Linked DNA regions of Struthio camelus. The protein of the gene in region 2 purifies or fractionates together with the protein of the main gene of each other region. This does not show direct contact. Links are inferred from orthologs where the notes say so. Each region holds a gene or a part of one and is shown on either strand. Other genes may lie near its edges.

Region 1 (8,180 bases), on a different chromosome or scaffold from region 2:
GGCTGCTCTCAAGCAATTTGCAGACTGATCCATCATCCACAGAAAGCATTTGCTCCCTATTTTAACTACAGAAACCTACAATAGTGAGGTCAGCAAGAAGACAGTACAGCTGAGCCTTCAAGGGCTTTCTCAAGGTCACAGAAGGCCAGTGACAAAACCTGACATACTGACTTGAGCTGTAACCACTAAATTACATGCAACTCCAGACAAATAAGCATTTCACCTACGTCTAAAATTCTGTCCCCCTTTGGCCATCCACTGGTTCTGTTCTCCGCTACTCTTATCTGCAAGAAGAGAGAGAAAACCTGAAAAGGGAGAACTCTTACCAGGGACACATCATCTAGAATGAGGCCGAAGGTCGCTGCTCTCTCCGTGAGGTCTTCACTCACTTGCCTTGAGACCAGCTCTCTCTGAGTGATCAATTCTCCAGCATCAAAGCGAGCCTGATATTAGGATGGACAAAAATGAGAACAAAGCTTCCAGAAACAATAGATTTTTCATATTCTGTTTGTCTTTGCACCTGTAAGCCCCAGAGTTAATCCAATTTATCTTCCAAAGCTAGCAAACACTAAGCTACCTGTTCACTAGAACTAGGAGAAAGAATGAATGATTGCAAATTTAAGTGTGAGCTGGAGGGGAGGTTTCCCCCAAAGGGAGAAGCTAACAGCTGAGAACGGGTAACAGAGAAACCTCTTGCTGTCCAGACTACACCCAACTTGAGCCTTAAGTCAAGGCAAGCCGTCAGAACGGCAAAGAAACAAACAGCATAACTACAATTATCAGCTTTTCTGGATAACCCTTTGGAGCCTGGAGAGTGGAAAGAGAAGCTTTAGTCTGGAGTATTAGATATTCCACATGCTAGCAGGTATCTCACTGCAAAAAAAACAAGGACAGAAAGGTGACAGGCAGAGCCCAGCAGCTGTCGTGCTGTCCTTACCACAACAGACTTCAGGATTTCAGTTGTGATTGAAGGCAGGACACGCTCATCATAGTCTTCTCCAATACTTGTGAAAATTCGGGGTAACTGGGCGGTCACTGGTCTAAACAAGATACGCAACGTGATGTTCACGTTCTGTAGATCTGGGGGCAGAGCGGGGGGGGGGGGGGAGGGAGAGAGAGAAGCACAAGTTTAGTGGCAAACTGTGGGGACAAGAGATGTCCTGAAGTTGGCCTTTCCAGGGTAACTAAATGGGAAAGACCACACCCTCAGGCTTCTCTTTGCCGGCAGAGACAAGTTATTTTTACTGTCCCTTTCACCTAGGGATCTAGATCCTTCTTAAAAAGATAAGACTGAAGTTTCAGTTTGCTTCTGATGCAGGGAATTATTTGCCCTCCTGCAGAGGCAGAGATTTTGCATTTAAACGGACAACCTACTAAAACCCTGCAACAAGAAGTTGCTTAATCTGTTCTGTAACTAAAAAGACAGATCAATGACTCTGTGCCAGACTGGACTCAGCACACATAGGACCACCATGTCCAGAAGACAGAACCCTTACTCAGTGATTTTCTGTAAGGTTAAAAGATCACAGAAGTCACGACCATAGTAAAACTTCTTCTCGTGCCCCATCCACCCAACTGCTAACTACAAAGAAATCCAAAAGCAACATCAGAATAAGACACAGGATATAACGAGAGCGCTTGGATCACAGTCTTGCACGATATTCAGATGCACTGCTCTCTCCTCAGGGCTGATAAGCTGCTGAGCATCTTCTCTCTGCCACCTGAGGCAGAGGGAAAGAACACCTCTGAGGCAAAGAACTCAATGTCACGCAGGTCGCTACAGTGGGCACACACTCAGAGTGACACTACTCTGTTACAGTCGCCTGGTCGAGAACACTTACCTTTGCTGCCAGTGATCACGGGAATGTTACGTGGGCGAGATCGACAGTCAAAAATGATCGGTTTCTGTACCCAAGGGATGAGGAAGTGGGTACCTTCTCCTACCACCGTATCCTGGACTCCACGGAATCGGTCAAAGATAACAGCTCTGTGGCCCGCATCAACTAGAATGAAACAGCATGGTTTCACTGTTGTACTTGCACACCATCAGAACATTCTCCATGACAGATATCAACAGTCTGTCAGGATTAATTAAGGCCTTTTGCTGCAGGAGAGTGGTGAAATTAAGTAGATTGCTAGTAGCAACAAAGCAAAAGAGACAACTCAGCCACGACTCGACCTCTCGGCCTGCTTTCAAGGAGAGCATCTCATTGACAGTTTCTAGTGAAGGGACTCCGCAATCCTCTTGCCTACCCAATGCAGAAGGTCAGTATAAACCAGCACAGCAGAGTCTCATGCCTATTTTCCCCTGATGCCACTAATAATAAAGGCACAGAGCAATAAAGACATGGATAAAAAGGATATAAAATGAACGGGAAACACTCTCCCTCTCCCACTCACCATTGTAAAGAGCAGAGTTGACAACTCCACCTGCGACAGCTAACCCCAGGCCAAACTTCCCGATGCTTTCAAACAACTTCGCGGCCATTTCTCACGTCCAGTTCTAGCCCCTTTAGCGAGTCCCTCCTGCAAAAACCCCACAAGCTTGTTAAAAGTGCATGAAGCGAGGAGCCCAGGCAACTCTGTGTCTGCACCTACAGAGCCGAGGATTAACTCCCCCCTCCAAAAAAATCCAACCTGCACCCCCGACCCGACCCCCCCCCCTCCGGGCCTCCCTGCACCCCCAGCCCCCTTACCTCCCGGATCCCTCCCCCCCAGCCCCCCTGCACCCTCCCTGGATCCCTCCCCACAGAGCTTCCCCCACCCCCTCCAGGCCTTCCGCCCCCGGGACAGGCGCCCCTTGGGCCGAGGCCCCCTCACACACCCGCAGGCCGCCGCTCGGCCCCTTCGCACGCCCCACCGCGCCCGCGCCCCGGCCCCGGCCCCGGCCCCGGCCCCGGCCCCGGCCCCGGCCCCGGCGACCCACCGCGCCCGGCCCGGCCCCGGCCCGGCCCAGCCCGCTCTCCCTCCCGCAGCGCCCCTGACCTCCACATGAAGCCGCGGCCACCTGACCCGCCGCGCCTGCGCGTCGCGCCAAGACGTCCGCTTCTCATTGGCCCGCTCCGGACCTCGGCATTCTGGGAAGTGTAGTTTTCGCCGCCCCCGCTCCCGGGAGGCCGTGCGGGAAGGCCTACAACTCCCGGCGAGCCCCGCTCCGCCTCGCTGGCTGTGTAAAGCCGCTCTCCATTGGCCCCGGCGCTCCCGCCGTGCGCAAGGCGTTCTGGGAGCTGTAGTCCTGGCCGGGGTAGAGGGGGCGCACGTCGGGGCTGGCGCATGGGGGAACCGGGGTGGGGGGGAAGGGGGATCCCGGCATCCCGCCACCGGCTCAGGCAGCCCCAGGGCAGCTGCCGCCCCCCGGCTCGGCTGCGCCCCCCCCCCCACCCCGGCCCTTTGTGGGCAGACCCCTGCCATACGCTCAGTCCGCTGGAGCGGGAGAGGCCGGGCAGCCGCCAGCGTCCAGCCCGGGCTCCCCACGGACGGGGCGGGGGTGCCGGAGCGGGGGGACAGAGGCGCCTTGCGGCCGAGGCGGGAGCCGGGGGCCGCTAGAGGGAAGCAGCGCTCTGCCATCGGCTCCGCCAACCGGGCTGAGGGGGGGGGAAAAAGAGAGGGGACCCCCCCCACCCCCCCCCCGCTTCCCAGGCAGACCCCAAAACAGCCGCCTTCCCCCGCCTGGAAACCCCCGGCCGGTTTCGCCTTTAACGCGACGCCGCTGAGCACGGGGGACTTCGTTACCCCCGGCGGGCGCCGGCGGGCACGGCCGCACCCGGGAGAGAAAACCGCTGCTTAAACCCCGCTTTCTCCCCGACGCCCTGCGGGAGCGGCGGGTCACCCCGGGGTGGCGGGGGGCGGACGGGACGTGAGGATGGCCCCGGCGCTGCGACGGCCGCTTTCCGCCGACGGACGGGGCCCGGCTTTGCCCGGCACGGCCGCGGCAGCGAGCTCGCAAACCCGGCCGGCACGGCTCTTTTGTGCCTCGACAGCCCTGGGAAGCGGAAAGCCAGGAGGAAGAGGAAGAGGCGAAGGTGTCTGGGGACCCGGCAATTTTGGACCCCATCCAAAATGATTTGGGAGCCAGATCCCGGCACCCCTCTTCCCTAGGTGCCGTAAGGCTGAATTTTGGCTGCTCCTAACCCGCTCTTGGCTGCATGCCTCCCTCGAGGAATAAATCCCGGGAGCATCCGCCTCTGCCTGCGCCACGGGAACAACGTCCGCCGGGGCCGGGGCCGGCTCGGGTGCCTCTTCCGCCGGCGCGTCCCCGAAGGACGAAGCTGCCCCAGGAGGCGTCTCTCCGCTTGCAGCTAATCCCGTAACAACATCCTAATTGGTGATAAAGCCACGGCTATAAACACCCAGGGATTTACACCCTTCCCGCGTAAGATTCGCACACGGGGCACGGTCGCTACGGCAGGGCTGCGCGGACGCGGCGGCCGGAGGTCTGCAGCCCTCCCGGCTCAGCCCCTCTTCCGCACCGCGCGGCCGCCGGCGCGGGCCCGTTCGTTGCCGCCGTTTGTGCAGCTTCGGCCCCTGTCCCGCGCCGCGGGAAACTGTCTCGGCCCCTCTCCCGCGCCGACGCGCAGCGCCCGCCGCTCTCCTCCCACCGCCGCTGGGGCGGGAGCCGGTGACACCCGCCAGGGAGAGGGTTTTGGGAGCCCTTGTGCTTTCTGCGCTGCCCGGGCCGGGGCGGTGGGAGAAAAAAGGGCCTTTTGTGCAGGGAATATCCCGAGGGTGATTCAGCCAGGCCTGACGCTGGCGGGGCCCGCTGACACATCGCTTTGTGGCCGGGCAGGGGGGGCCGCGGCTCGTCCCCGGGCGCCGACACCGTCCCCGGCTCCAGGCAGGGGACGCAGCCGGCGGGGAGGGGGGGGGTCGCCCCGCCGGGGTGGCAGGGGCAGGTTGAGCGGAGGAAAATCAACCCCACGACAGCCCCGGCCGGAGCCGCAGGCTCAGGCGGAAGCGCGTTTCGAGCTGCGCCGGCTCGGCCTCGAGACGAGGAGCGAAACTAGTGTGTTTTCGCCCGAGGACGGAGGTGGGCGCCCAGTGATGGAGCAGGGCGAACGGAGCTGGAGCGGTGGGGGACGACACCTTCCTCGCCGCCGTCCCCGGAGCTCAGCCGCGTGCTTTGCCGCCCCGCGGGAGGCTGCTCCCCCAGGACCCTTGATCCTGGCTCAGAAGAAAAAGGAAATTTGGGTGGTGGGTGGTGGCGGGGGACCGTTAAGTGCCAATTCCTGCCCGGGGACGTGGAATCGCGGCGGGCCGGAGCAGTAGGGTGGCATCACCCCTTGTCGCTCCCAAACCGGGGCGCAGAAGCGACGCGCGAGCCCCACAAAAACCCTTCACGACGGCCCTTCGGCCAGCTCGAAGCTGCTTTTCCGGGAGCAGACGGTGCTGAGAAAACGAATCCCCCCCCCGGCGCTTTCCGGCCGGGAGCGACCACACGAATCCCGGGCAGGTTTTCATCTTCGCCTCGATCACAGCTTGTTTCCCCCGTCTCCTCCTGCCTCTCCAAAAGACCCCTTGAAAAAGCAGCGGCCGGCCGCGCTCCGGGCGCTCACAATGGGATTTCAGAGCGCCGGGGCCGGCCGCGTTTCGGAGCCGACATTCCTCCACGAGACAAAAACCCTCGGCGGACCCAAGCGCCGGCCTCGGCGGCAAGAAGCGGCTCTTTGTCCTGGGGCGGTGAGGCCGGGGCCGGGCAGCCGGCGCTCGCTCCGGCCGCGGCGGCCAGCGCCGCGAACAAAAAGCCTCCTTTTCTCCAGCCCTCCCAAATCCGGCGTCGCGGGGCTGGCGCTGCCCTGAGCGCACCCGGGAAAAATTTATGGCATGGCATTTGCCAACCGGGGAGAATCGGAGCGACCCCGGCGCTGCGCTTCCCGGCCGCTCCGCTATGCAGACGGGCATTGAGCTGCCGGCGCGTCCCAGCCGCCGCGCTCCCCAAAAACGGCTGTTTGACTCGGCGTCCTGCCGACGTCCAGCTCTGGCCCCATCCGTCCGACGAACCCCTTTGGCCGCTATTTTCCCGAGTGGCTTCCTGCGGCCGGGCAGCGAGAGCGGCGTAACCAGCTGCTGCGCGCGGCTGCCGCGTGAGCATCGCCGCCGAAAGGCTGGTGAGGGTCGGGCTCGACCCGCGCGGGCCGGGAACCCGCGGAGCAGAGAGCGCGTATGCGTTTTCGCTTGGCCGGAAAAGCTTCTTTCCTTCCTCGTTCAGCTTTGCAGGAATAGCGCGTTCCCGGCGCAGGCTGCCTTTCAGCATACATCTGTTCCGAAACGGGCGTCAAGCGGACGACGTGCTTTTCACAGAAATGCCGTTTTCCCCACCTAAAAACCGTGCGTGGTTTGCACAGCAAATCTGCATCTCTCGGCAGAGCGAGAGCATCCTCGCGGCCCCCCCGCAGGACCCGGGCTGGCTCCTCCGTCGCCGCACGGCCGCCGGCCGCGCCGGGAAACGGCTCCCACCTCCGCCGGCCGCTCGGGGACCGAGCCCGAACTGGCCGCGTAAACCGGTTCATCCGAACAAGCGCTGAAATCAAATTAGTTAAACTACGTTAAAGCCCTGCGAGGACACGGTGCAGAGCGCAAACGGCCTTAATGTGATTTCGGCTGGCTTCGCGGCCACAATTTGCAAGTCAGAGAAATCGAATTAAGGCCGCTTGCGTTCTCGGCTGTGTCCACACAGGGCCTTAATGCGGTTTAATTAATCTGCTTTAAAATTGCGCCTGTCTTTCATTTGGGCCAATTTACCCGGCTCGCCCTGGATAACGGAGCCCCCCCGCCGGGCCAAGAGCCATTAGCCCTGGGGCAGATTTGGGGTACGGCCCCAGGCTGGAAGGTGCTGGGGTCCGCGATGCTGAGCCCCAGCCGTGGGCTTGCTGCCACCCTGAGCGGCTCCCGTGCCCCGCGCTGGGGTCCTGTGCCCCGCACCGGGGTCCTGCACTGGGGTCCTGCACTGGGGTCCTGCGCTCCGTGCTGGGGTCCTGCACCAGGGGCCTGTGCCCCACACCGGGGTCCTGCGCCCCTCACCGGGGTCCTGCACACCATGCTGGGGTCCTGCACCAAGGTCCTGTGCCCCGTGCTGGGGTCCTGCACCCCATGCTGGGGTCCTGCATCGGGGTCCTGCGCCCCTTGTGGGGGACCTGTGCCCCGTGCTGGGGACCCACACTGAGGTCCTGCGCCCTGTGCTGGGGTCCCATGCCCTGTGCTGGGGTCCCGCACTGGGGTCCTGTGCCCCACACTGGGGTCGTGAGGCCTGTGCCAGGGTCCCGTGCCCCATGCTGGGGTCCTGCATCCCATGCCGGGGTCCTGCACCCCGCACCAGGGTCCTGCACGCCATGCCAGGGTCCTGCACCCTGCACTGGAGTCCTGCACCCACACTGGGGTCCTGCACCGGGGTCCTGCACCCCACGCCAGGGTCCTGCACACCACGCCAGGGTCCTGCACCCCACGCTGGGGTCCTGCACCGGGGTCCTGCACCCCACGCCAGGGTCCTGCACCGGGGTCCTGCGCCCCATGCCGGGGTCCCGCACCCGCCGCGATGCTCCAGGGCGACAGGGCCCCGCAGCACCTGCCTCGCGGCTGCTCTGCTCCTCGGCCTTAACGCCGCTGCCAGATCGCTATCTGCGCTTAACCGAGTTTCCTCCTCCGCGGCGGAGCGCGGCGGCTGGAGCTGGCTGCCGACCGCCCTGCGGCTCGGCTCCTGGGACGGCTCTCGGCGGCTGGGAATTGCCGGCCGGCAGCTCGGCGGAGGCTGGCGCTGGGCGAGGGAGGACCCAACCTTTGGGTGCCCCCGAGGGGCGCCCCGGATCCCCTGGACCCCTTGAACGTCCAGCCGCTTCCCCTCGGGGCAGCTTTGGGGATGGCCTTGGGGTGAGCTGAAGCCGAAACCTCAAGTTTGCAGGAGAGCTGTCAGCTTCACGTTCCTGCTTTCTGGGACTGCAGGAAACATCCGCCTGCCCCGGGGGGTTTTGGAAACCCCCCCCCCCCTTTTATTGAAGGGCAGCCTCACCGGTGCAAAGCCTGGGGCTGCTCGGACCCGCGGGCACCCAGCGGGGCGCCGGAGCAGCCGGCTCGTGCCGCGAGCTCGGGGCTCTGCTCCCCTCCTGCCTTTGCTCTCCGAAGGTCGGCTCCCGTTTCCTCTCCAAAGGTAAAAACGACATCACCGCTAAAGGAGCTGCAATTAAAAGAAA
Region 2 (7,807 bases):
ATGCAGCAGTGACAGGATCCAAGCATCAGCGTTCGTGTGGCGCGTGCTTGTGGATGGCCAGATTATCCAGATTAGCTTATCACTACAAGGAACACCATCCTTTCTGTCTGCTCCCAGCTCCGAGTGATGGAGCTCTTTGTGGCTCTAATAAAACTGTTGTGTGCCTTTGTCCAGTTTCTGGTATCCTTAAACTCTTCAGTGTTGTTCTAATATTTGTCTTTATGCTTTACTTTTCTACAAGTTGCTCAGCATCTGTGTTATAAATGCTGGGTATACATTTTAAAGCAAACGTGCAACAGTGCCAGACAAGCTCTTCTACATGCCCATTCCACGTGCGGATGTGGTGTACGCAGCTTTCCAAGGAAACCATCTAGGTGGAGTCGGTTTTCCTTCACCACTTTTGCATTTGGTAACATGAGAATAGGCAAAATAAATCTGTAGATAAGTCACTTCTCATAAACTTTCCAACAGATTTGTTCTGTCAAGATAAGCCTTTTCTCCTGGATAACGAGCTGTGTTGGATTGCTCTGGCATAACTCTAGCTGCTTGCAGATTAATCGGCTTTATGTGACCTCTGTCTCTGTTGCCTGGTTCCTCATGGGATTTGCTGCCCAGTCATTAGTTTCTGGTAGCAAGAAACCCAGATACCACTCCTCATTTTTTCCCCTCTCCTTGTTTTAAACTCTGGGCCGCTCCTTCTGGTCTGGGCTTGTCAGGGATTTACAGAGATGCTATTTGCTCCCAGCTGCAGGTCTTCACCTGGCAGGGTGTTGAGTTGAAGGAATCTCTTGGGTGCAACTGTAGGTGTCCTAGTACTTAATGCAAGGCATAACATGGTAAAGATTACCCTTTATTTGTGTTAGACACCTAGTATTTTCTCATATTCTGCCACAGGCTTCAATGTTTATTGATTGGGTTTTTAGTTCATGACAATGTAAAAAAATAAATGTTTCTGTTTTACTCCAAGATATGGCTGTGTTTTTTTCCTCCTCAGGTCTATGGTGGAATTTAGAGATAATCATTATCTTGGATTAGCTTAAATTTCACTGCTTTAAACCTGCTGAAGCTCTTTCATACGTTTGCTCAAGTCATAGGAGTAGTTATGGTGTCATTTTGTTCACCTGAGTATTTTCATGCCATGAAGTATTTTCCACATCAAAGCTAGCCTGGCCTAAGTCTTTCAGAAAGAAGCCACTGCCTACTTTTCTTTCTTTATTTATTTATTTTTTTAATTACGGGCATTTTCCAGCATACAAATCAAAGCTTGATAAAAATTCATTAGCAAGTTTAGCTTTACCTGTCCAACTGCTATTACTATGTGGTAATAGGATGTGCAGTCACAAACGGTAAGAATCTTCTATGGCATACAGATGATTGAAATGGCTAAGTGTAATGGTGTATGAGAGGTATGTTCTAAATATAGGACTGAAAAGCAAAAAATCCATGCTTTGGTCCTGTCTTTGATTCCAGCTTTCTCTGGGGTATAAAACGGGGAAAAACATCTTCTGTGTGATATCAGACACAAACATTTGCAAAGCAAACAGTAGTAAGGTCAGGGGATAGAAAGCTTGATCAGAAATGAAAGGGGAAATGTTAATAACACAGCAGAAATGAGTTTACTTCAGGTGACAACTGCTGCACCAATCAGTCAAATCTATTGATCCACTTAAGTGATTTGGGAACACTGGGCATCTCTCTCTGGGTTTTTCCAATGAGTTTTACAAGAATGGTTGTTTCACTTACAAATCAGCATTTAATTATTTGAAAGCTCTTACTGGCTGCTGAGATAATGTCCTAATCCTTTTATGCAAAAAACTCCAATTGCCCCTCCCTTTCCAGGAGGTATCACCTCCACAGAATGAAGCCTATTAATTTACTCATTTTAGGATGTTAGAAAGCCTGGTGGTTTGCAGGTCTGTCAGGCAGTTGTACCTAGCTTTGTTAGAAAGCTGCTTTTTCCTTGAGCTACAGGAGGTAAAAAATCCAGAGGAAATGGAAACTGCAACAAAAAGAAGAAGAAGAAGAAGAAAGGGAGAGAATTTGCAAATAGCCAAACACAAATCCAAAAGAAGGAATAAGTACAGGCTTCTCTGCATGGGTTAGTTTTCATTTGAGTTTCTCCTTTTTCTTTAACAGAATTTTTTTCACTATTCCTCTTATTTTTTATTGGGGGATATGATAGTTTAACGCTGAGAGTATGCTAGTAGAGTGCACAGCATCGCCACAGGCCCTAACAGCAAGGGCTGGATTTTAGTTTGCTTTGGCTGTAGAGCTCTGGGCAACCAGCTTTGATGAACTATGTAGGTGCAAGGAGCTCTGTGCCTCCGTTAGTCTCCATAGGGCCTGTAAACAACTTGGTTCTTTTATTGGCTTCCCAAGCTTGCCTTCTGCTTGCCTTCTCAGCAATAAAATTGCAGGCTTAATAACATTCAATGGTGCGCCTCTGAGATGAGGAATTACCTAGGTATGAATCTGTGCAGCTTATTTAAAGGTGAGGGCTTCTGTGTGTGTTGTTTTAAGCGTATCTTAAAAGTTGGCTTCAGTTAAACTTCATCCTAATTATTTAACCTAAACTGAAGTAAGGCTACTTTAAAACTGTTGAGAGAAAAAAAATTACAAGGCATCAAGTCTGTAGTGGATGAGCCCTTCAGGTACCCTGAAAGCGTGGACCCTTCCTGGGTCCCCTCTTACGGCTTTTCACGTGCCTGGTTTATTTGAGAGTGGTTGCACCTTATGAAACAAAAAGCATAGTCAGCCCAATATCGTTGCCAATGAACGCCTAAGTAAGAGCATAAGAAGAGAGTGAGCTGAAATGACATCTCTATTTGCACCTCAGTGGTTTTTCTGACTTGGGAGGGATTGCACAGCTGTATGTAATGGCTCAGCAGATTTGTAGTTGGTAATCCTTCACGGGCTTCTCCTCCACAAACTTGTCTCGTTCCCCTGGGAGCCCGTTCAAATGTTGAACATCTTGTGGCAAGGAATGCCACAGCTTAACTCTCCATTGGTTAGGAGGACACCTGCTTTGCTGAAACTTGCTCCCTGCCAGCTTCAGCTGCTTTCCACCCTTTCCCTGCTGGTTATACTTTTACAATGCCTTTCATACTCCCTCAGCCAATTCACTTCTGAAACGAAAAGTCTCAGTTTACTTGTTCATTCGATGGCTTTCTTTAAGGTCTCTTTTTCTGCTCGGTTTCTAATGTGTGAAGGCCTCTATCTTGAGAGGAGGGCAAACAATAACTTCAGGTTTGAGTTAGAAGTGAACATGAACTTATTGAACCTGTTTAATTGGAAACTGATACAGACTCCAGTCACTTGCTCTCTTTTGGTTGGTCACATATGTTTCTTTATCAAGTAATCATGACTACACTACATAGATAAGTAGAGTTTGGAAGTTTACTACAAGAACATACACATCAGATTGTGTTTAAATGTTAAAGTGATTCAGGTTTTTTTTTTTTTTTTCCTCCAAGTGAAACCAGCAAACCGTATGATTCACTGATGTCAGTCATGCATACTCATGCCTGTATTCAAGCAAAGCAGACATAGTTAAACTACGAGTGGGAGGAAATGGCTGACTGGCTCAGACAAGTGTGATACTTGGTTCAGAGTGGAAACCAGCTCATTCAGAGCGGGCGCGCACGCATAGGACGTGTGTGCGCTGAACGTTAGGAGAAGAAAGTGGCCCAGGCCCTGAGGTGGATGCTAAGAAGAAAGATCCAGAGTAATTTTGATGGATAGCTATTGTAGGCCCGAAGACTTGGCTCTCTGCGGTTTAGAAAATGTGCTGTAGGAAATAAGGGATCGTTGTAAGCATGAAGAATGGGGAGAATGAGAGTGAAAAGGAAAGGGAGATGGAAATTGTATCTGCAGGAGCCAAGCATGTTAATATAGAGATGTTCATGCACTACTGTACAGACCATGTCTGTAGTTTGTTCTGTAAAGAAAGTGATTCATTAGTTTTCACTCAGGGTGGAGTACTTGGTGCTTTCCTGGATTGCTAAAAAATAAAGTGAAACCATGACTAAAATCTTCCTCTTAAAGGAGAGAGGAGGGAAAAAAAAAGCCAACTGAAATCTTGTGTAAGTAACTAAATCTCTATTCAGAAATGAATTTTTACACTGGGTATGAATAATAAATACATGTCTTTAAATAATGAACAACTTATGCCCACAATCCATCTTTACTTAATCGGATCTCTGTTTACTCCTAATGTATGTTCCAATGCACATTCAGATGTGCTAGTTGCCATTGTCTCCTATTGCTGTTTATCCTCTCAGCATGTGGTTTTCTTCTTAATTCATCAAGACACATTTCTCTGTGTCATGCCAAGCTCTCCTATTCAAAATTATCTGTATTAACCTGTTGGGTCTTCTGTTGTGAAAGTACTGGACTTGCACACAGGAAAAAAAGAGGGATGCTTATCTTCTGATATAGCTAACAGATACCGGCTGGCATCATGTTGGGCCTTACTGCTAAACTGTGGAGGTTTTATCTGCTGCTAGTAAGCTGGAAAGTTAACTTTGTACCATGTATTCTACTAAACCACTGGTCTTGAATATATTCTTCGTATTGTGCCGCTGTAATTTGTATTTGTAAACACATTTTTTACTACCTTTGAGGAAATGTTGATTAAGAAACCAACTACGCAGAGGTGAACTAGAAATCGTGAGGATGCCTCTACCAGGGTTTCCTGGCTGAGCAACCATTTGCCCTGGTGACTTGGTGACTTCCGCTGCGGGCTGCGTGCCGGCTGCCGCACCGCAGCCAGCGGGCCCTTCCCGCCAGCGGCTCCTCCCCACGGCGGCAGCAGCCACCGCCTGAAGAGGTTTCCCAAGGGTCCGACCTACGCGGTGGGGTGCAGGGCGGGGGCGTTCTTTTTGGGGGGGGGGCGGCTTGGGCAACCAGCGCGAACGCAAGCTGGCAGGAAAGGGGTGGCGGCCCTTGCTCGAGGGAGCGCCCCGCCGGCTGTCGCGGCCTCCGCCGACAGCAGCGGGCAACCGCCGCCCCGCCCCGCCCCCCGCCGGGCCCCGCGCCGCCGCAGGACCCCGCCCCGCCGCCGGGGCTGCCCCGCCGAGCGCCTGTCGAGCCGCGGCGCCGCCGCCCAGCTTCTCGCCCGGGTCCACGGCGTCTCCCGCAGCGCCCGGCGCCTCCCGGCTGGTGGCGGCGGCGGCGGCCGGCCGGGCGGCGGCGCGGGGTGTGGCGCGGCGGGGAGGCGGCCGGCGGGGCGGCCCCGGCTCGTTGGGGTCCTGCGCGGCGGCGGGCGGGCGCATCGGTGTCTCCTTCACTTCGCCCTCCAGTGCCAGCGGCTGCAGCAGCGCGGCCTCCTCACGGCGACGCCCGCCCGCGGCCCCGGCCCCGGCCCCGCTCCGCTCCGCCCGCCCGCCCGCCCTAGCCAGGTGCCGGCCTGGGCCGCAGGGGCGGGCGGGCGAGGGGGCGCGGGCGGCGGCGGGGCCCTGCTCGGCGCCCCTCAGTGCCGCCGCCCGGGAGGGCGGCGAGGCGGAGGCCGGGGGGTGGGGGCCGGTTCTCGGCACGTTTCCACGCGCTTCCCTCTGCCTCGGGTGGGCTCCCGCGGGCTGCGCGGCGCCGGCGGTTGCAGGAAGGGCGGCGGGAGGGCGCGCGGGCCGGGCCGGGCCGGGATGCCCAAGATGGCCGCGCCGAGGAGTTCACCTTGCGGCGCCGCGGGCGCCTCGGCCCTGGCCCTGGCGCCGGGCCGGGCGGGCGCTGGGCGCTGGGTGCTGCCGCCGGCGAGGGCGCCCGTCTCCCGCCGCGCCCGGGGGGGGCCGCCCGTTCTCCCCACGCGGTGTCCGGCGGCCCGGGGAGGCCCCGCTCTCCCCCTGCTTTCGGTTTCTGAACACCTAGTTCATCTCTGGATGTTTCGTTTTTTTCCCCCCCTCTCCGTAGATTCTCTAAATTGGCCTAGCCATGACTATTTCTCCAGCATGTCCGCCTCCGAGACGTAAGTAGGGAGACAGTTGAAGCAAGGGTAATGAGTTCTTTAAGCTTTAGTAGTACTAGAAGTTTAAAGGTCAGTGTCATGCCCTATATATATAAATATATATATATATTTTTTTTAACCAAATATATTTTTGAATCTACTTCTCCATGCTGATTGCAATATTGGAATACAATTTTAATGTAGTTATTGCCAAGAATTTTTAAAGCTGCAAGGATATTTATTTCTTTATTTTAAATATGCCCTTCAGCCTGATCTTTAATATCCTGAGGTCTTAAAGTTGTTAGAAATCTGTAGAGAAATTCTTGGAATTCGTTTAGTTACAAGATGTAGAAGAGTTTTGAAATAGTACCTCGAGGGAAAGAGGTGATGTAATAATTCTGACAACGTTTATACGCTTTTTTTTTTTGTTAGATTAATTTTTTTTCTCTAACAGAAGAAGAAATCATTCTTGGAGCTCTTGAATAACAGATGTAATTCAACATTTTTTTTAGGGTTGTGTGAAAAGAGGGATAAAGCAAAGGTCAGGATGAAGATCCCAGTTGAATTAATTACTTTCTATGTTTTTGAAATGAGGAAGAAGATTATCTGATATAGATAGTTGCTGTCACAACAAACTTCTTGTCATTGTATGTTATCTCTATTTTAAGCACTTCTAATCACCTTTTAAGTGAAAGGCAATTCAAAATAGGGTTGAAGAAAGCTATCTCTGATTGTAAGAATTTACAAACCTAGCTAACCTACCAACAGTGGAGGAAATGGGAAAAATTTTTTGCCCTTTTTTAATTTAATAGGCTTTTCTGCTGATGACGTTGGCTTATCAGATATTGTGCAAAGCCAAAATTAACTTACGGCTTGCCCTTTTGTATATTCTGTTCCTGCTAGCATAGGACTAGAACAGCAGTGTGAAAGTTGTTTTAACTCTTTTTTATCACGCATCTTGCACTTGTCTGTAGGCTGGAATGTCAGGCAAACATTTGTCAGTTTCCTTGCAATGGGAAGGATGCTTAACTAGGCCAGATAAAGCAGCACTATCCTTTTGCTCTAGTAATCCTTTCAGTTTAGACACAGATGCCAGTTTACTCACTTCCCAGGACATTGTTGCTTAGCATAAATCTCTTGTCTTTGGTGGTTTGTCTACTCAGATGGGAAACAGTGTTTAAAACGAAAGCAGAAGGCTCATTTATTTTAACTGTCAAAATACGTTTGTGCTAGAGGCTATTACAAAACTTTACAACTAGAAATAGTTTTTCTTCTAGAGATGGTAGTTAAAGGAAAGACCCACTTACTAGAGAAAAATACATAGCTAAACTTTTTCTAAATTACCTAAACTACTAATGAATTATTCAGCTGCTGTATAGCAGAAATGTAGAGTGAGGAAATAGCAGTGTCCCACACTTCCTTGGAATTTGGTCTGAATAACACCTGCTTTTTTATTGCATAAGTAATAGGAAGCGTTTTCTGACTTGTTGCTGAGATTGATAATTGTTCTGCCATAGAATCTTCTCTTCCTGAGGCTTATGTAATTTATTGTAATGTAATAAACTTTGACTTGGGCTACACCATTTTAACCTTTAAGCGCTTTACCTTTTTTTTCAGAGTGGGGCAGGTTTACTTTAACTCCATGCAAAAGCAAACTTGTTTTGTAATCTCCAGCAAGAGCTAGATGTCTTGCTATGGTGACCTGGTTGTAGAGCTTAGAGTGCCTTACTAAAGAATGGTTATTTTTTTAAAGCTAAACTGTAAATGCATAGGTGTAAATGTGTAGGCTAAGCTGGGCTTGGATGGGCCTCTTATGTTTTAGGAAGGTGAGGTGAGGTCCTCTGGAAAACTACAGTAGAAATGTAAAAG

The links. The genes of interacting proteins can lie anywhere in the genome.
Region 1: the proteins of VDAC2 (region 2) and PHB1 purify together in Homo sapiens (affinity purification with mass spectrometry; 4 studies listed by BioGRID, with this or other methods). This does not show direct contact. The link is inferred for Struthio camelus from reciprocal best matches to the Homo sapiens genes VDAC2 and PHB1.

Annotation. Positions count from the first base shown.
Region 1 is NC_090966.1:5,144,026-5,152,205, reverse strand, and holds the start of PHB1 (prohibitin 1), read right to left. Parts: upstream 3,073-8,180; 5' UTR 2,986-3,072; exon of another isoform or gene 2,927-2,985; intron 2,527-2,926; 5' UTR 2,489-2,526; coding exon 2,401-2,488; intron 2,004-2,400; coding exon 1,842-2,003; intron 1,081-1,841; coding exon 938-1,080; intron 444-937; coding exon 327-443; intron 1-326.
Region 2 is NC_090948.1:26,043,437-26,051,243, forward strand, and holds the start of VDAC2 (voltage-dependent anion-selective channel protein 2), read left to right. Parts: upstream 1-4,760; 5' UTR 4,761-4,853; intron 4,854-5,199; exon of another isoform or gene 5,200-5,399; intron 5,400-5,463; exon of another isoform or gene 5,464-5,561; intron 5,562-5,904; 5' UTR 5,905-5,925; coding exon 5,926-5,959; intron 5,960-7,807. UniProt on the Homo sapiens protein: Non-selective voltage-gated ion channel that mediates the transport of anions and cations through the mitochondrion outer membrane and plasma membrane.